Lepisosteus oculatus: one gene and its partner. The protein of the gene in region 1 interacts with the protein of each later gene in a biochemical or structural test. Links are inferred from orthologs where the notes say so. Each region holds a gene or a part of one and is shown in the gene's direction. Other genes may lie near its edges.

What was found.
Region 2: the proteins of peli1b (region 1) and ube2v1 form a complex in vitro, tested with the Homo sapiens proteins (3 studies listed by BioGRID). The link is inferred for Lepisosteus oculatus from reciprocal best matches to the Homo sapiens genes PELI1 and UBE2V1.

The regions. Positions count from the first base shown.
Region 1 is NC_090712.1:9,278,962-9,289,094, forward strand, and holds the start of peli1b (E3 ubiquitin-protein ligase pellino homolog 1b), read left to right. Parts: upstream 1-4,954; 5' UTR 4,955-5,293; intron 5,294-5,329; exon of another isoform or gene 5,330-5,613; intron 5,614-10,133. UniProt on the Homo sapiens protein: E3 ubiquitin ligase catalyzing the covalent attachment of ubiquitin moieties onto substrate proteins. Involved in the TLR and IL-1 signaling pathways via interaction with the complex containing IRAK kinases and TRAF6.
Region 2 is NC_090711.1:12,183,927-12,194,059, forward strand, and holds the start of ube2v1 (ubiquitin-conjugating enzyme E2 variant 1), read left to right. Parts: upstream 1-4,303; 5' UTR 4,304-4,321; coding exon 4,322-4,403; intron 4,404-6,826; coding exon 6,827-6,975; intron 6,976-7,984; coding exon 7,985-8,110; intron 8,111-9,596; coding exon 9,597-9,743; 3' UTR 9,744-10,133. UniProt on the Homo sapiens protein: Has no ubiquitin ligase activity on its own. The UBE2V1-UBE2N heterodimer catalyzes the synthesis of non-canonical poly-ubiquitin chains that are linked through Lys-63.

The DNA.
Region 1 (10,133 bases):
AGGTATGTAGCACATAAATACCACAGTAGCATTTACAGTCTCCCAAATAATGCTTGTGTGATTTGTAAATGTCTGGAAATGTTCTGACAATTATTTCTGCTTTGGCAACACTAATTCACCAGTCGTGCCAATAAAGCTCTCTGAATTTGAATTAGCACTCATGAAAAGCACAAGTATCTAAGTCCTTTATGCTTTTGATTATCCCCAGAACAGTAGGTTTACCTACTGTCAGTTATAAAATGTGGATCAAAGATGAATAATACATTGTTTTAATTTTCTGCTGAAACAAACGTCCTCTTTTTCTTCAGAGTCCTGTCTGAGCATGTCTTGGACATGAACACTAAACACTGTGTTTATTGGAGGGGGGGGGGTATTTTTGTAATATACAAGTCCTTCTGCCCTTTCTAAATACTCTCCAGACACCAGTGACTCTTGGTATGATTAGAATTCAGAGGGTCGCGATTTTCTCCTGGATCTTTTCTGCGAATTCACTTTCTCAGAATGGCAGTGCCCAACAAATTGCAGTGGAGAAAGGGAAGTGATCATGCCACAAATGACAGTGCTGGCCTGCTTAATTACATATGAAATGTTTAGAAATACTCTGTGTCTCATTTGCCAAAGTCTCCCGACAGATATCTTGAGGTAATTGCTGAGCCAAATGACTTTGTCGTTTAATGGCAGGAATTCCAATCCTTGTTCCCAGTGTCACTTTTTTCAAATTCATTATTTGTCTATTCAAATCTAAATACGCGAAATAGGTTCAGAAAGCCACGGAGTTTCTTATCTGAAAATGAAAGACACAGGACGAACAGAGAGAAGCAAGTTTTTAATTCCCAAAAGTGTACGCTGCGGAACATGCTTTGCCTTTAATTTTTTCCAGCTGTATGTTCAGCAAAAAAAAATGTTAGTACAAATAAGGAGTGAAGGCCGGCACTGGACACATATAAAACGGTATGGGAAACAGATATTCTCTGACACAACACAAGTGTATGCCTATGGAATTCAGCCAATAGTTCTTTGTTCCTTGCAAGTTTGTGATATTTAAAACATTCTGTAAACATATCTGTGTACTTGGATACTGTCTCCATGACAGCCTGACAACAGCAGACGGCTGACTTCCAAACACTGCAGTAGGGAAATTTAATATTTGGTTTAGCACTAGTACTAAATTTTTATTATGTAATCCCATGGCACGAAATCACAAGCAGGCTTAACGGCATCCTCAGTCAGACATTATATTCTTACCAAAGTTAGGCATTATGCAACACAAGAATCTGTACAGGAGTACTGTTGCTATGTTGGGGTTTTTTACTGCAACAACATAAAGACTCCCTGTTTTAGATTTCATCACAAGGTGCTTGCATGAGTGTTGTACTGCTAGGCATGATGAGCAGGACTTGAACTGGTCACGTTCTCGCTCAAATCTGAACATCTGAAACAATCAATATTCTCCTATGAGGAAATGTGCTTACTACTGTGATCTAAACATATACAATGGAGTTTCTAGCAATCCTTATCCATTACAGTTGCAATCCTTAGTCTTGAGTTTAGAGAAAGGAAATATCCTGACCTATGGATTTTCTCAGTAGAAAATCTGGAAGTATGAAGTAAAACGTTGTACTAAACCAAGAAACATTTTAAACTTCTCAAAATAAAAATCTACACGTAAAGCTAGAAATCCAAACAAGTATAAAATTAGCTATCACAGACACAATATTTACATTCAATCACTCAAAGTCTAATTTCATAAATCTCTTCTCAGTGAAATTGCTGGACATGAAAAAAAGAGTTCAAATGCGATATACTGTACGAAAAACAACTGTAGAAAATACTGTAATGGTAATGCTGTTTGCTCTGTTTATTGCTCTTTAATAATTCTGAGATAAGGGCCCTCTTGCAGTTCCAAAGGAATTGCCTTAGACTTCTTTAGAATTACTTTATCGGAAGCTAAAAATGTTGTATTACCAGCCCCTGGAACTCAGAACTCTTTGACTGAAATCTTACACAATAACAGATATAGTTCACTTGTCTTTCAGTTCTGATGATTTGCATGTCAGCAAGGTCAATAAGGCAAAGCAACAGGGTTAGAAAAGTCACATGATTGAAGAATTACAAGTTTTCATACCTAGGTGCAGAAGCAGTTTATCATTTCTCGACAATGCCCCATCCAATATATCCAGTACAGAAAGATGCAATAGGGTGCACCTTTGTCTTTTCAATTTTTTATTTTATTTTTTAATATTTTTTATAGTGACACTAATAAAAAAACATTCTTTACTAGCCAGTGATTAGCAAGCATGATGCACATGCATAACGGTTTTGTTTTGTTTTTTGCAATTTTAGAGATAGTTAAAGGATGGAAAAATGTGAAAATGTCTCTCAGTAGGAAAAAAATAAGAATTATGTTACGGTATAATATTCTGTTTATCACTATTGAGACATATTTAAATGAATAACTCTCTTTGCTGTTTGTCATGTATTGCACAATTCGGCTTTTCCAAATGTAAATCATTACAATCGCTCAACAGTGTGACTTCCACCTTGATCAGGGAGCAAGTGTCTGAGTTAATGATCTGAGGCTGATGGCTGAATATCTGAATTGAAAGAGCGTGAGGGAAATAGCAAACAGTTGAGTGGACAGCTATAATTTAATGCACACGTAAAGCGGTCATAAAGCACAGATCTGGAAAGGGCATGGAGGAGTCAAGGAACTGGTTTGCAGAATAATAAAAACCCCAGATGTTTCCTTCAACTGCTCCTGACACGCATTTCAGAAAGCGCTCATGGTGTTTCAGGGATGCAAATATATAAAAATAAAAAAGCACATTCAAGGAGTGGAGTTACATTTCATTTTATACTGTATTTTGTTCAACATACTACATTATTGCATATGTTAAACAATAATGCGTTACCATGAAAAATAGATGTGAAATCAAATGTGGGCCTATTAGATGATTTTCTGAGATCAGTAACAGGACTTGATTCATATCCCACCACTCAATGATGTCCTCACAGTGAAGAAAATGTAAGTTTTTTTTTCCTCTGGAACAAATGTGTTTAAAACAAGCCTTAATGTGAAGAGGCTGTTAGCAGTATTCTTCCTGTTTTGGGGGGGCCCAGGTTGGGAGTAGGGGTGTCTGCTTCATTTGCAGCCAGTTATCGGGCTCACAAAGGTCAAGGCAAGGTCAGACTTCCTCTCCCTCATTCCACCGGAGAGGAAAAGGGCCGGCACCGAACACACGTTCAAGGTATCTAATAAATTCAGCCCAATCGATTCTCCATTTGCAGGCGTTCGTGCTGGTCCTGCCCTCCTCTGTCCCAGTCTCCTGTCACTGCTCACCAGGCAGTGGGAGTGGAGTGGTAGGTGAGCGTGGTGACTAAATGTTTTCAAGGATGCAAGAGCCACCCTCCATGACAGCATCAGTTAAAAAAAGCATGAATTTGCACCTTTTTTTTCTGAGCGCTTGCTATTTTTGTATAAGAAGGTGTTGATATCAGCACATATCAGCAAAACTACATCTGCCTTCTGAATTATCTTTTTTTTTTACAACTACTCTGTGTTACATTCTTTTCATCAACATCCGCCTGGCTTATTAGCTGATAGGCTGGTTTTCTAACTGCAAAACACTAAAGAACTGGAAACGTCTGTATTTTTTGATAGCCTTGACCACAGAGCTTTTTTTTTAAAGAATGTTCCCATCTTAAGAACTGTGATAGTGCTGTCTTCCTTTTAAGGTTAGGTAAACTGGACACTGTATCACCATACGCATATTTCGAAAGCCCCAGAGAATTAAAAAGCAGTGTAACAAGGGTCACAGACGTCATCTTGTAATAGCTGACAGAAAATGTCAAAGCCATCTCATTTTGCTATTAAAGCCTCAAATGAACATCTTGCTCTTGGCAAAAAAAAGTGCAGCAATTTTACTGCAACCTGTGCATGTATTTTGATTTAATTGATAGAACAAATTATGGATTATAATGTGCAACTGTGCTCTTATCAATAATACATTTCTTTCATTTTGATGTATTCTGTAAAAGCTGGTGTGGAATTTAGTCTTCCCAAAACGCTAGTATGAGAGAGATTTAGTACAAATTGGTGTTTGTCACTTCATAGCTTTGTTGATGATGAACGACCCTGGCTGTAAGAGTTGGGCGTTACCCATGTGTCCTGGTTAAATTCTACTCTGGTTTAGCACAATATAGCTCCCCATTCATTCAACTGATGAAGTAAATTCCTGCCTCTCCACCCGATCTGCTGTTTCTTGTCGCCCAGGTGGGGGCTGCATTTCAGTGGTGGGTGAAGTGGGACCCCTCCTATATGTAATAAACCATCACGTAATATCCTTCAGGACAAAAAGCACAATACAAATGCCAGAAATTATTATTTTTATTAAATAAATAAATTAAAGGTGCATACAGTTTTTCCCAATATTTTTTATACGTTGCAATATTTTTTTAAATATATCAAATTATATTGCAATATTCTGCAATAAAAAGACATCTCAACAGGCAATGTATGTGTACTTTGTTATGGATGTAATACATATGCTTTACATAAATATTTCTGTAAAGACAACAACATGCAAAGATAATTTTTAAATGTGTATTACATATCTATAAACAGAAATTAACATAATATGCATATATTAGTACGTAATAAGATATTAAAATTAACTTAATAATCTCACAGCTTCGAAATAAAATGTATACTTACTATTAATCTGAAAAACACAGAGAAATTTCCAAACTCTTCACAGGGAACGATAATGAAATCGATGCCCCTATCTTAATTCTGTGCTCCTCTCCAGGCACGCGGTCGTAAAAGTGACCTAACCAGCTGATTTCGCTTCCCGTCGAGAAGCATCATGGGTAGTGTAGTCCAATTGGCTGACTTCCTGAATTGTTTCCATGTCCCGACGAGAGAAAGCAGGTACGACTACAATTTCCACAATCCATAGCGAAGAAAATCAGTGACGCGGCAGGTATTTGTGACTCTGACCTAAAGGGGCCAGACACTGCTTATGATGGTCAGATCCGATTACCCGCACTAAGATCGTGTAATCGATCCATTATTTAAGAGCGAAAAAGAAAGAGCAGAGAGGAAAAAGACGCGCTTATAAGTTCAATGCGCCCGTTTTCGTTCCCAGCCAGCCGCGGATCTGCGCTCACTTGCCTTTGTCACAGCAAGTTGGGACGGAGTGCTTGATTGTTTTCGCCCGCTACGCACAGACTCACAGAGAAGAAGCCAGCGAGCTGTCGAGGAGCGACGAGGGAGTCACGACGCACCGCCGCTGTAAGTCCGAGAGCAAGAGCAGCAGCAGCACGAAAGCGACTCTTTCCTTTTGTCCTTCCTGCTTCTCCTGGCACCGAGCGCCGGGCAGCCCGCTGTTAGGAGCTGCTGCTCCAGCAGTGACAGGACCGAGCGGGTCTGCGCTGTCAGTCCGCAACCCTGCCGACGGGACCGAGGCGCTTCGCCCGTCCGGCACTGGTTTCTTTTGATGCAGGGCTCCCTTGAACGCGGTCCTCACTGCTGCCCAAAGCCCGGTGACGGTTGCGTGATGTTTCCCGTAGCTCGACGGGGCTGTCCGCCTGCGAGGCGTTAAGCTGCAGAAGGTGATTTTGTTTCTTCTGCCGTACACACAGGCGAAGGGTGAAAAAAAAACCCAAATCGCCCGTGTGTGCACTTTTCCAACATTTCCCAGTTCCCGTGCGCGGTGTGATCACGGGTGAATCGTTCACAGACCGAAGAGCGTTTTGATTTGTTTGTCTTGGCGCTTTGATTTCCATATTATTTATTTCCTTTGGCAAATGAACAGAGTCGATTAGCTTGTGGTTCACGTTGGCATTATTTACGGGGAGTGAACCATGACCGCACACTCTTCCAAGGGGAGAGAGGGGGTTTCTTAGTCCTGTACGTTGTAACGGTTCCTATTGTGGAGAGCGAACCGGTCTGTTTTTACTAGTATTTGGCTTGAAACGCTTGTACCCCCCCCTTAGAAACGAGATCTGGGAAGCGCTTATATTGCTTAATTGCTGAAAAGACACATTACACCGTGCTATTGTGTACAGCTAACTTTTTTTCTTTGTGCTCTTGCCCAAGAAGGGCAGGGTGACAGCGCAATTGTCACGTTCAGCATTCGGCACTGTAACCGAGCTTCGTTTCCGACCAGCGTTTTTTTTTTTTTGCTGTGGGTGAGCACGTCATTTGACGAAATTAGCGATTGTAAACGCTTGCTGTTAAATCTCGACGAACTGGGCGATTGTCAAGTTGTTGGGGTTTTTTTTTATTTTATTTTATTTCGTTCGCTCAGCTCGGCGCTGTCTCACGGCACATAGGCGCGATGCTATTGTTCCCCGAAAGGATAAACTGATTTGCATCCATCCCGGCTGGGCATCTGTGGATGTTCTTTTGTTCCGTGCCGATCGCATTTTGCCCCCCTCGCAGCAGAAGTCAGGGATCGCGGATTTCGAGTGTCTGTTCACCGCTCCTACCCAAACCTTTGATCTGGAATTATTATGCACCTTAAAGAGTCTTGAATTTTTATCTTAATCGTCAGCGCGTTGAAACTTTATTTGTTCAACAGGGGGGGGGGACCCCCACAAGGTCAGTTCATAAGGAAGCAATGGTAGTTCTTTTTTTTCTGGTCACCCCCTTACTGGAGTTGAGTGAAATCTTCGCCAGGCTGCTCTTTTGTTTGTATTTTGTGTTTGGCAGGTTATTAATAGCTGCGGTGGCACACTGGTGTTTCCATGCCAGAAATGGTCACTGGTGTTCTCTTTTATTCAGTCGCACGGGAAGACCTGAACCCCAAATAGGCCTGGATACAGCTTATGGTTTGGAAAAAAAAGTTCCCTGGGATCATTTTTCAGTGGCGACAGTTTATTCGTGTCCATTTGTTCGCAGAAGGAGGGTGTGTTAGATGGCCGATTAGGGATCCACACAAGTGGACGCCGGTGGGGTGTTGGCCAGGAGGGAGTTGCACGAGGGTATCAGGTTGTCGCAGTTGAAGCGTCGCCATCAGATTGCTGAGGGCAGACTTGAAATCGCCAACTAATAATACTTCCTGGGACTGCGGTGTCAAGATTTAGAGCGCTTAAGCCGTGTGTTAGATTGAGAGGCGCCTCAAAGTAGGGCGTCGCGTGACTGGCGGGAGAACCTGGGAGTCCTGGAGCGGCCGAGAGAGAGAGAGATAGAGGGGTTCAGGGGTGCAGAAGGGGTTCCTGCAGGCCCCATCTCCGCTCGTCCAGATGGCCACGTGCTGTCAGCTGTGCCGAAAGGAGACGCGTTGCACGCGGGCACTCGCGAGGAGAGGAGGTTGTAGGGCAGAGCAGTGCCTAAGGGGACACATGGAGGTGGGTTTCCTTGTTCCCCACGGTCTGGCCTGAGCAGGACTGCAGTGACAATGAAGCGAAAGCTCAGGGCAGTTGTTATACCAGCAGGGGCAGTGGCTGTGCTGTAAGGACAGAGAAGTCACTGGGTCTGGGCTGCCGTCTCGTGTGTGTCTGTGTGTGTCTGTGTGTGTCTGTGTGTGTCTGTGTCACTCAGTCTGCCCTAAGCGAAGAAGTTCACCAGATACTTCCAGGAAGAGATCACCCCTGTACGCTGCCTCTCGCACAGGGGTTCTGAAGAGCCGTACTTTAGTGCAGTGGCTCTGCCACGAGTTTGCTGCCAAAGCAGATAGCCTCGCAGAACCAATGCTCGTGTCAAAAAGCATGAGGACAGAAGCAGTGGCATTAGCTCATTAGCTAGGGTTCCGTCTCTCCCATGTGCTGCATGCAGGTTTGCTAATCGGACACGATCTGTATCAGCTGTTACACAAGCTCTGGCAGTTTGGATACATTTCAAATAGTTTCTATAGTGCATCCCTTTTTTAAACAAATACACATTCCAGGTAATAGGTACGTGCCTACAGTTGCATAACCATAATGGGCATTGCTTTAAACACCTGGCGGTTCATAGTTTTTCCTTAGCTGTGTAAAAAGCAAGTACAGTGTATAGAATTAAATGCATAGACAACGTAGTGATCATTGTTAAAGAGTCCTGCATGTGATCATATTGGATATTGGATCTCACTGAAATGTCTAGCGAGGGTAGACTCAATTTCATTTTTCCCCTATGTGTTGTAGATATGAATGTGTAGGTTTAGAGTTTAAAAAAACAAGTATGTTGCAGATGTGTGCCTGCAGGCTACTGATTAGTCTGAGGATAATGTAAGGGCAGATCACATTTAGTTTTGCCAAGGGTTGGAGAAACTTAATATCTGTATGCCTGGACCACAGGGGATAGAAATTCTTCTGTAGAGTAAAATCTGAAGTTTTTGTGTCTTGCAGCCAAGTGCGTAGGAAGAGAAAACATAAACCTAGAACGATTCCTCTTGCTTATCCAGTCGGGTCGGAAAGCTGGTTCTGAATGAGTACGCTTGTCGTGTCTCTGATCTTGCCTGCTGCCCATGCGCTGGTGCTGCTGGTGTGCTGCGGACGACTGTCCAGTTTGTTAACTGGCTGTGCTCGAGGACCTTGAGGCACATCGGGGTGGCTGCCTCACAGCTCTTGTCTTTGGGGCATCCTGTTCTTCGTGTAACCCATCTCTCCTGAGTTGGGATGTGGCTTGCTGTGACCCCATATGGATCTAAGTGTTTTAATGAAAACGGGTGGACGTAAGTCAATCCTGATATTCCATTTACTGGCCTTTTGTACCCGTTGCATATCCTGGTTCTCTAATTCCGAAATTTGACTTGGGTAATGTGCTAGTTTCCCCTTCCAGCAAGAACAGGTTCTAAAACGTCTCCTCTGTGCACTATCTGATATCAACGTCACTTGTGAATGTCGTTCAGCCACAGTGGTGAAGCAGCATCACTGCTTCATCTTTTTGATTTTTTTAAAAAATAAACTTAAGGTAGGTTCATCAGTCAGGATTGAAGGAAGAAGCCCACACATCTGGGTTTCCCTAGCAGAGGGGCTCTGTTCCCTGGATGCTGATTCACAAAGGAGTTTTATTACCACGCTCTGTGATGTCACTGCCCTCCCTCCCCCTTCTTTCACAAAACCCCTCCAGGATGCACTCCAACGTCAGGTTTGGGAATTTTATGATGACGTATTTCCTGCGTAATCTGTGGGATGTTGTCTTGCCTGCTTTACAGTAAAAATATGCTTTCTGGAGCTGTGAGTTAACCCCAGGGGCAGTACACAAAGACACAGGCAGAACGGGACACATTGCTGACATGGTCTGTACAAATTGGCCTACCTTCTCAGACTAGTTTTATGTTTTGTTTTTAGAGAACTCTTTAATGCAGAGTTTCTCTTGTCCACTGTGTGTTTTTCATTAAGAAACCAATGTCTTCTGGCCCCGTTCCTAGACTGTCATCTCCACAGTATCTGAAGAAATCAAGTTGCTTTGTTTTTCCAGAGCATCAGAAAAACACTCCCTCCACAAGTACTTCTGGTCATGTCTTTTATTCCGAATGGAATTCCTGGTAATTTTGTTTTCTGTGAGAAGATATGGAGTCAATTATCCAACCACAGGAGCATCACAATTCACCCTGCAGCCCTGCACATCTCTATGATGTACTTTTAGTTAAAGCGAAGCCTTCATTGCACTATATGTGTGTGGCTGAAGCCATCAAAGGACGGAAAGCCTATGTCTTGTTCTGTGTTTGCCTCTGTTACTCCTCTTAGACCTCTTTATGAAAAAGACAGCTTAACATAATTCTTTGCAAGTGCATGTGCTGTCATTTTTTTCTCGTATCCCTGGTGTGCAGTGCTTTGTACAAGCCTTCGACACCAGAACTGGGAAATACGGTCAAGTTTGTGAGGAACACGCTTGCTTGTGAAAAGTAGGTCAGACTGCGAGTTTGTTAGCACTCACTGCAGTTTTCAGCGGAAAAAATGTCACTTCTTTCATAAAAGGTAGTTTCTGTTTCTTTTATCGCAGAACTTGCTTCCATGCACACAGAATCGTTCAAATGTACTCACCTGGAAGTAAGAGGCTGTATGGGATCCATAAGTAAATTAAACAGCTGCCTGAATAGTTTGTTTTTTAACATTAAAATATTCTAAAGTTGTGCCCTTCACTGAGAAAAACTGCAGTATTTGGATGCTCAGCAGTCTAGCTTGCACCCTTAGTATGTCAGTAA
Region 2 (10,133 bases), on another chromosome or scaffold:
AGCTAGAGAAAAACTTTGCACGGATCATATGTGTGAATGCCTCCTGAAACACAAAATTGAAAGGGTCTTTAGGTTAAAAGTAGATGTTCAATCACATATGGGATATTTAAGTATTTCTGCCTTGCAGGAAAAAGAAGATTAATCTGAATGTCCGATAGCAAATGAGAAATGAAAAGGAAAAAAGTGACTGTTGTCAAAACTGCAGACTTGGATCGCTTAGCAGGCTACCCAAAGTGCAAGATAACCATTTCTTTATCTTCATTTGATATATTTACTTAAAATGCACTTTTAAATCTAGTTGGAGCCAGCTCTCTTCAGAGCTTACAGGTTTGAGCTGGCGTAGTTAATGGAAGTTATAGATACTTCTCACTAAAATAGTATGCTGTGTAAATCCTCAAAATTCTTACAACTCTAACCTGGCTTCTCTGTAGAAACCTTTTTGCTAACAGCTGTGCCGTTTCTAGAACTCACACAAAATAGGCACAGGTTACAAGAAGACGGGTGATACTGTAGAACTAACATTAAAGCATAAAGCAAATGTTATCTTTAAGTTATGCCTGCTGTAACGTACAGTAGTGCTTTCTTTTTCAGAATTCTTTCTCTGAATGAAAAGCACATAATATCTTCTGTTGAAGATGGTTTGGGTGCTTCTCATTGAAATGAAAATGACATTGTCTGGGATTGAGTGTGCCTGGTAGTTGTGTTGGAAACAGTCCCTTGCAATGTGGTTGATTGGCAAGACCACAGTTTTGACAATGTTTAGTATTATATGAGCGAGTTGCATAATGCATGAGAGAGGAACTGGACTGAATGAGGAGTTGATATTTAAGAGCAGTGCTAGTTGCCAATGGATGCCCATAATGTTAAGCAGCTACTGCTAAGATGGTGCAGCTGAGAAATTTGGATTCTCAAAAAATGTTTCATGTTTGGGGGGGGAAGTCAAAATATCAAAGCAAAAGATTTCAAATTCAAAAGTGGCGAACATTGCGGTTTAGTTAAAAAGGTAATAGTCTCTCTCCCAGAGCGCCTTGTTTCTGTACATGTGCAGGCCATGAAGAAAAGGGGCAACATCCTTGATTTCTCAGTGGAAATCCGGTAGACTTGTGGCTGTTATTGTGCCTTGATGGGCACAAGCTTGCGGTTTCTTTTGTGTCATCCTGAGCTGTTGGTCATGGCTGAGGATAATGGTTATTATTTTGTATTTGCAAAGACGGCAGTGGTAGGAGATGCAAAATGTGTCCATGGACACAACGAAATAGCTGTAGAATGCGTAGGTATTTCAAAGAGTCAAGGACATCATCTGACTCTTTGGTGGTTCCGCAGACTAGTTGTTTGAACTTGAAGGGAACCTTTTCACTTTGGGAGCGTATCAGTTGTGTTTTTCATGTGCCTCTAGTACTTTGCCATTCTGCTTACAGGTGGCAAGACCAGGTGTTGAGGTCATGCTGACATTATTGGAAAGTCGGTAAAGAACGTGCCCGAGGTTGATGGGAACAGGAAGAAGCTGTGTCCTCAGGCCAAATCACAGCCTTTCTGTTGGAGATTTCTTTTTCCCCCCGTTTGAGTTCTTACCTCGCAGACCTTGACATTTTTCAGCTGATATATCAGACAACCACCCTTTCCTGGAGGCTGTTTCTGCAGACAGTATGATGGACTAATACAGTACTTCGGAATAGGTGGAATAGCTTATTTCCCACTGGCAACTATACCTAGAAAATAACAGTTGAAAAGAACAACATGAACTTGTCTTAGTAATTAAATCATCCAGTCTCATTATTATCCTTTAAAGCCCAAGAGGATGTAGTTTTTCATTTCTTAAAATCTCCTCCTAAGAATAATTTTGGAGTAGGGGACTACATTAGTTATTTGTTAAGATGGTATTTATCATGTATGTATTGCTGTGTTCCGGATGAAGTCATTTGAATTTAGAGCCATTATGAGCCTTTGCAGGAACGACTCCATGTTGCTCATTTAATATAAAGCATTGCCAAGGATCATGGGAAGAATTCTCAATGGTGTGGTTTTATCTGTCTGAAGTAGCTCTGTGGTGGTTAACCTTTGTAAATATCAGAGAACTAATGCCTTAACGCCTCTGTTTTCTTCCCTTGAGGAAAAAATGTGTAATGTTAAAAGTGTACATACTATATTTATAATGGAAAAAAAATAAATAACTGTGTACTACTTGGCTTTGTTTTTTGTTTCTCTCCACTGGAGGATGACCGGTTCAAGGCTTGTTTTCTACAGCTGGAAAGAGGTCTTTATGACCGGTACATTTTTGCACAAAAACATTTATCCTGCAAACTGTGTTTTTGTGTGTGTGTGTGTGTGAGAGAGAGAGTGAAACACCACCTGCTTGGAATCACTTTTAACAAAACATTTTTATCCGATTAATATTAATTTCTGCTGCACATTCATTAATTATATTTGCACAGCAGCATGCATGACTACTGACATCCTGTATTTGAAAAAAAAATATCTGCCAATTTATTATAAAATATATTTATCACGGTATACCTAGCCTAGAATAGAATGGAATTCTAAATTTATTGGAAACCTGGTCATCCTGGCAAGCAGTGGTGAAAATGTTTACTTACGCAGTAAACATGCTGGAGCAGTCGCTGAGACTTGTAAGTGGAAGCTTGTGAATTAAAATCCCAGCTGAGACACTGCTCAGATTGCATTGCTTGGCTATATAAATGGGTGGAGATGTGCATTGATTTAGATAAGTGTCGGTGAAATTAATCGTGATCATGATTTTTAATTGCCACCTGGGACCATTCTATCTGAAGGGCTTTCTCTTGCCTTGTGCCCCTATTTGAATCTTCGATCTAGAGCTAAAACTCTTCTCAGCTAGCAGGGGCAATCAGGCCCGGCCTAACAGTTCTGGAGCCCCTTACCCACAGGAGCGAGGCTGACTGACTTAAAGAGGCCAGGCAAAGTGAAAGGGCATGACAATACCTACTGAAGATTCCCAACCCTCCTTTACACGGAGGAGAGGGACGCACTTCATCCACACTCACGTGGCTGAGCCAAGGCGGCCATTGTGTGCCAGAGAGCCCAGGACACAGCAGATGAGCTGGAGCAGTGAGAAATGAGCAATTCCAGTACAGTAAGGGGGACGATCCGGATGTTACAAACACAAAGTAGAACGTGAGCCAAAATATTAGCGTTAACACCACTACCCTTGACAAAGCTCTTCTATGGATCTTTTCTGACTGAGTCATCAGGACCTTGGCCCAACGCTTCAGTTGAAAGACGGCACCTCCAGCGACGACGGTTTGGGAATACTGGTCCACAGGGAAGTGTGCGATCTGCTTCGTCTTGGAGGCGTCCCATCCCAGACTGGTACAGGCCCCGCCTGGCACAGTTTCGGCGAGCTGACGACACCAGCAAGGTGTTCAGGTGCGTAAAGACGAATTCCTAATGCAAGAAATTGTATAGGGCTAATAAAGCAACATTACATTACATTACATTAGGTAGTCTTGTTCTCAGAAGCGTCACTTCTGTCTGCGTTGGGCAAAAAAGTTCTAGGCAAGTTCATCAAAAAAGTGGGATGTTTTGCTGGACTGATTTTTTTTTTTACCCTGCTTGTTCTGCAGAAGCAGCAGACTTCATCTCTTAATGGTATTGAATAGTATTTGTGCCCATTTCACAAACGCCATCTGTGAATTTACCTTGGGTTTGCTTATGGCAGTTTACAGCTAACTCATTTTCGGTGTAATGCTTTTTTTAAAAAAAAACTTATCACGAGCCCTGCAGACACAGCACCCACTATTAAAAAACGTTATTTGTAACGCTATCTTTTGCTGATAACTTGATGCTCACGATTGTTGTGTTAAAATCGTTTAACTTATTGAGGATGCCCTTAATGTACTTAATTTTCCAATATCTTTATTTCATATCCATCCATGCATTGTTAGAAAAGCCGCTTAATTTGATAATTTAATAACAGCGTGTTGCATTTATGGATTTTCTTACTTTTTGCAAGCGTGCAATATGCTGTTGCATATCAGACACATGCATTATTTATTTTGTTTCCTGTAAGGGAACTTCCTCTTTTAGTAAAAAGAAGCAGACGCAGCAAAGTAATGCACATTAACACGGCACTTGTTTTAGATTTCTGCTTCATTGCGGGTCTCTGGTTTCTACGCTACACTGATTTAACACATGTCCTCTCGGCGCTTTTAAACGAGAAGCTGAAGTCCAGCAGTTCATCGCCGCGTCTAGAATCCACCTGCTACACGGATAATGCGGCGCTTTGCGGCGGCGGCGTCTTCTGCATTCTGTGCGCGTTCACCGAGCCTTCGCGCGTGCACAAGCGATGAATTTTCCCGGCCACCGGCGCATGGCAGCGTGCGCGTTCCCGACAGGCAACGACAATATGGCGGCGGCCGCCGGATCGGGTAAGTTAGTCTTGCTATCAGATAAATACATTTTGAAACGCGACCTAAGGTGTTCGATCAAAGAGGAAAAGGCGCGTTGAGAATGTCGGGTGCCTTTATCTCCAGTTTGTATGTTAATAATAAAGGTGATACTGGAAAAAACAAACAAACTAATGAGCATATCTCCATCATTTAGCGGAGCCGGCCAGCAATGTGGAAGCAGACTGGCGATCGAGCTTTTTTAATGAAACGCTGTGTCTGCAGTAGCAGCTGAAAACTGCAACATCATTCAACAGATACGTGGGATACGTAAAAAATACTGGAAAATGTAACCTAACAGAAATTTAGTTATCAACCTGTAAGTGCTCCGAGGCGTGTCATTCTCAAACATGGTTTAAAACGAGAGTTACGGAGACCCATAACAGGTTTAGCTGGTTGACACAGCATAAAATGGTAGCTGTCTCTTCGCATTTGGCAAGATAAGTGCCGGATGTTATCTGTGTGTTTAATCAAGTATTTAAAAAACAAAGCAAAGATCAGCTTATTCCAGTTCGCTATGTCGCCGGCAGGGCTAAACCTGTTTCCTGTAAAATACACATATGAATGTATACAACAGCATGAAATGAAGTCCTGTTTTAGGAGAATGTCGTAGAATCGAAATCGACCATTGATGTTCTGCAGGTATAGATGATGCCACCAACTCGTACGGAAAGTGCTGTAGACCTGGCGATTTGAACTATTCATGTGTAAAAAAGCAAAACCACTTAAATCTCATTTACCCTTGTTTGTTTCTCTGCAGCATCTCGATGTTTTCTCAGTGGCATATCCATATTACCCCTTTGTAAATTAGACTTTTTAAATATTTCATCCACACATATATTTTCTGTAAGAATGGAAATATGGCACTTACAGTCTGTCACACTCCTGCTGGGTTTGTCAGTCCACTTGTGCAATGCTGCAGAGTGATGTTTCTTACTGTCAGTAGGATGTTGTGTCAGGCAGCTGTGCTCAGTGTGTTGTGTCAGGCACATTTTCAGTGTGGATGGAAGATTAGAAATAGCAGGTGTAAATCACTTGTCACTTGAATTACCTGATTGTATGTATCCTTAATCGCCTTGGAATTGTACCCCATAACACATCTATCTGGGTTCAAACTCCTTCATCTAATTCAAGGACATGGGGAAGCTGGAGCCTGTCTCGGCAAGCAACCAGGGTGCTTCCTGGACGGGACACCAGTCCATCACAGTGCACACAGACACAGACACAGATACAGACACCACACGCTCACACCAGGACCAGTGTTCCCAGAAGCTTATTAACCTACAGTTTTTCCTACAGTCTTTGGACTGTGGGAGTAAATTGGAGCACCCGTAGCAAACCCAAGCAAACCAAAGGAGAACATACAAACTCCACACAGACAGCACTCAAACTCAAAACAAAAGGACCCTCAACACGAGCCCAGGCTAAGTGCTGAGGGTTGTACAGCTTCATTTAGCAGTGAGTCAGAGCATACAATTTGAGTTTTAGCCGAGGCAAGACCATTTTGGGCAAATCTGAGTTCAGGATCTTCACTCAGTGTTGAGTCTGATAAGATATCGCATTGAGAGTCATGGCTTACTTATGACGACACTAGCTTGTGCTTAAGGCAGTGGTTCCTGACCGCAGTGCTCCCTTGCACAGCGGTGTATCATAGTGAAACATGTCACATCCTTCACTTTCAGCCTCCTACACTACGTACTGCATCATAGGCTTGTACTGGTTGCCTTGCGATATAGTAAACTGGGATTACCCGGGCTCTCTCCAGGCTTTGTTGTGGATGTGCATTTTCTAAAAACCAGGCATACATGGTTACCATCCATGTGAATTCCTGCAAGTCTTAGAAATCTGGAAAAATCACATGACTAAAATGAAATCTGAAACTTACCTGATATTCTGATTGCTGTTAACCTAACAATTTCCTGTGCAGTTGCTTTTCAAGAATAACCGAGCAAGCACGTGACATGACTTCCTAATCCTACTACCTACTATCCTAATCTCTTTTCCAAAACAAACAAAGTTTTGCAAAAATTGTGCTTCTAGGTGTGGTTTGGATACAGCCTAATGTTTGTTAATTGTAGGAGGGGTGAGTCCCGCAAATATATTATTCAAAGGAACACTTTAAGGTTAATTCCATGCTGAAAAGAGAAGATGAGAAACATCTGAAGAAGGCTCCACAGCCGAAATGTTGTGTCTTCTCTTTTCAGCATGGAATAAACCTTTACTTGTTCCATTGCAGTCTACGCATACTGACGCAGCTCCGTACTTGATCTGGATTATTCATACTGGAACACCTCAGACTGGGGGAAAAGGCTGGACACCTCTGGCCTGAGGACTCCTGTGCTGTAGGGCTGGGAGGGTCTGTGCTCCGGTGTGATTCTGCAGCAAAGTCTCTTCTCTGTCTACAGGCGTGAAGGTTCCTCGTAACTTCCGGCTGCTGGAGGAGTTGGAGGAAGGGCAGAAGGGCGTGGGGGATGGGACAGTGAGCTGGGGGCTGGAGGACGACGAAGACATGACCCTGACGCGCTGGAGGGGGATGATCATCGGGCCGCCCAGGGTGAGGAGGACTGTAGATCTGCTACAGGCCGCCATGGGCTTTGGAGTGACCACAGGTCACATTCAGCATCCTCTTCTTCCATATATATATCTCATTATCATCCACCCTTTTCAGTTAACTCCTGGGTGAAGGTGTCCGCTCCACAGATCACTCTAGCTCATCGCACTTGTGTCACTCCCACAGACGTCTTCATTTCAGCTTCCTCCTCTCACAAGGACATAGCCTGCGTTCAGGTTTAGGAAGTGTAAAGAGGACAGAGCCACAGGGCGGAGGCGAAGAGAAATGTAGCTCCACCTCCAACTAGCTCCACCTGTGCACAGCCTTTCCTATAAAAGCCATACGGAAGAACAGGGAAGTGTCCGGTTAGACCCTCACGATTTGTTTCCAGAGTGAGTCAGGGTGAGATTTCACACATATCTTAAAGAAAACTAGACTGGGGTAAAAATAGCTGACAGGCTTCGGCAGGGTGTGGGTTTTCCTCAATTACTAATGGGGAAAGCAGGGACCTAGGTGAGCGTTTTTAGGGACCTGCATTACGGTGGAAAGATTAAAGGACATTGGTGTGTTCCGGGAACCATCTAGGCTCCTCGATAGGGAGAGTTTATGTTCAGATTTGTCTTACCACACTACCAGTCAAGGGCAGGATCTGTTACCACATCCTGTGGATCCTTTCTTTTGCGATCCAGTTCAGAATTTCCTCACTAAACAGGATCCCTTCATGTCTGTACAAAGTGGTTCTTACTATTAATTTGGATGCCACTTTATCTGAAGAGGCTTAAAACCCATATTGGAGCACTCATCGACTGGGATTAGCTTTTCCCAATCTTTCGGCCATGAGTCAGGAACCCGAGCTAATATCATGCCCTGTCGCTTGTCTGTATGACACTCAGACATTGATTTGAAAGTCCCAGATGTTCCCATAACCATCAGGCACCTGAGTTTAGCTGCCTTGAGGAAAGAGAGGGACATTTGAACCCCCCAAACCCATACGCCTTGCATGTCATTGCAGACAATCTACGAGAACAGGATGTACAGCCTAAAAGTGGAATGTGGGCCCAGATACCCCGAGACACCTCCCTTTGTCAGATTTGTGACCAAGATTAATCTGAACGGTGTGCACAACTCCAGTGGTGTGGTGAGTAACCCCTTGAATGAATAACTAGAAGGTTTCATGATTGTATTTCATCCAAAATGACTTTTGTGAAAGAAGCCTTCATCTCATTTTTTTCAGTTTATTTAAAAAGGAAGATAAAAGGGGGTAGATTGGATTTCTAGATATACATTGTATGTCTTTATGAAGGTTTAATGACTCGGGGAAATCAGTGTTTCTTGAGGAAGATCAGTACAAATCATGAAGCAAAGGGAAGCAGGGATTTTTTCTCTAGATACAAGTAGGGCTGGGCGATATGGCCAAAAACATTATCACGATAAAAATTTTCATATCAGTCGATACCGATAATTATCCCGGTAAATGTCAAATCATTATTTCATTCAAGTTTAAAGGCAGATTTTTTCTCCTGAGTGAAATTTGAAGAAACCAGACAGTTAATTGGTAAATTAAACAACTCTTTATTTTAAGAACACAACAAACACTTGCCAAACAGCAGAAACATTAAACAAATCTGTTAGCTGCCCGGTCTGCAACGTGCACGCGCACTCACGCAGTATTTTGTGTGCATGCGCATATCACGCGCAAAGCATAAACATATATATCGAACATTTATCGAACTTTTGTTAAAATTATATCGAGGAAAATTATATCACGATAATGATCATTATCGAATTATCGCCCAGCTCTAGATACAAGGAAAGAAAAATGATCCATCCTCTATTGAGTTGCTTTCCCTGCTTTGTGTATTTGCAGGAATACACCTGTATGTATTTTTGCTTTGCAACATGGCCTGTCACCATCCAGAACACTGATAATCACAGTAGACCTGGAGAACAAAGGTTTTCACTAGATCAAGAAACAAAAATTGGAAATGACTCAATTTAATATTTTGCTTCACTTGTTAGCAGCACATTTAGAAAACCAAACCTCAGATGGATTTTTCTAACTGTTTAGCCAAGAGATATTCACAAGCCTCTTGCTTTCAGTGTAATAGGGCTGCTTCTCCTCACCGGACGTTTTGTTGCCTCATTCTGAATTGCACTGCGCATATTAGGAAATTGCATTTATTTGGAGATGTAAATTGGTAGTTTTGCACATTACTGTGTACATTTTAGTGTCAGTGTACCACTAAATGTGGTTTGAAATGCACTCATTTTTGTGTGGTTTGAAATGCTGATTCTTCCTAAATCCGAAAGATAAAAATAGCATTGCAGTTCCCCTTTAAATAAACCCTGGCACAATTAAGTCAGATCATTATTTCGTTGGAGTCCACGTGTACAATGAATGTGTTTCAACTGATTGCAAAATAAATGCCCCAGTCTTTGAGAGGTCCCACAGTTTTGTTAGTGCAGTTCTAAGGGGGGTGAGTACTCTTTACACACACTGCATCTGCTAAGCACCAAATGGGTTCGATAGGCAGAACGGCCTGCTCTTGTTCGTGCCTGCTCTTTTTGCCGGCCTGGCCAGAGCGCGTCTCAGGCGTCCTCATGGTTCTCTGCTCATCCCTCAGGTGGACACACGGGCCGTGTCTGCCTTGGCCAAGTGGCAGAACTCCTACAGCATCCGAGTGGTCCTGCAGGAGCTGCGGAGGCTCATGATGTGCAAGGAGAACATGAAGCTGCCCCAGCCGCCCGAGGGCCAGGTCTACAGCAACTGATCGCCGGCTTCCTGGCGTTTCCCGCTCCGCCGGCCCGCTCCCCCTCCCCTGCCTCCCTGCTCCCCCCTGGCAACTGGCCGCGACGCCTACCCCTCTCTCTGACTCTGAAGGACACCCCTCTCCTCCCCAGAGCTCTCGCTGGAAAGAGGGACACATGCCTGCCATCAACAATCAGACTCCACAGCACAGCCCCTTCAAATACTGTACATCTTACTAATCTTTTTTTTTTTAATTCTATGTTTATTATAATTATTATTTGTTATAAATGCAGGTTGTAAAATAACATAAATCTTGTTACTGTGTGTCATATCGCGTGTCTGCTGTATTTGTCCTCAGAATGCCACAATCTGTTCCTGTCACGCTGGTTTACTGCCAGTGAAGGCAACGGAG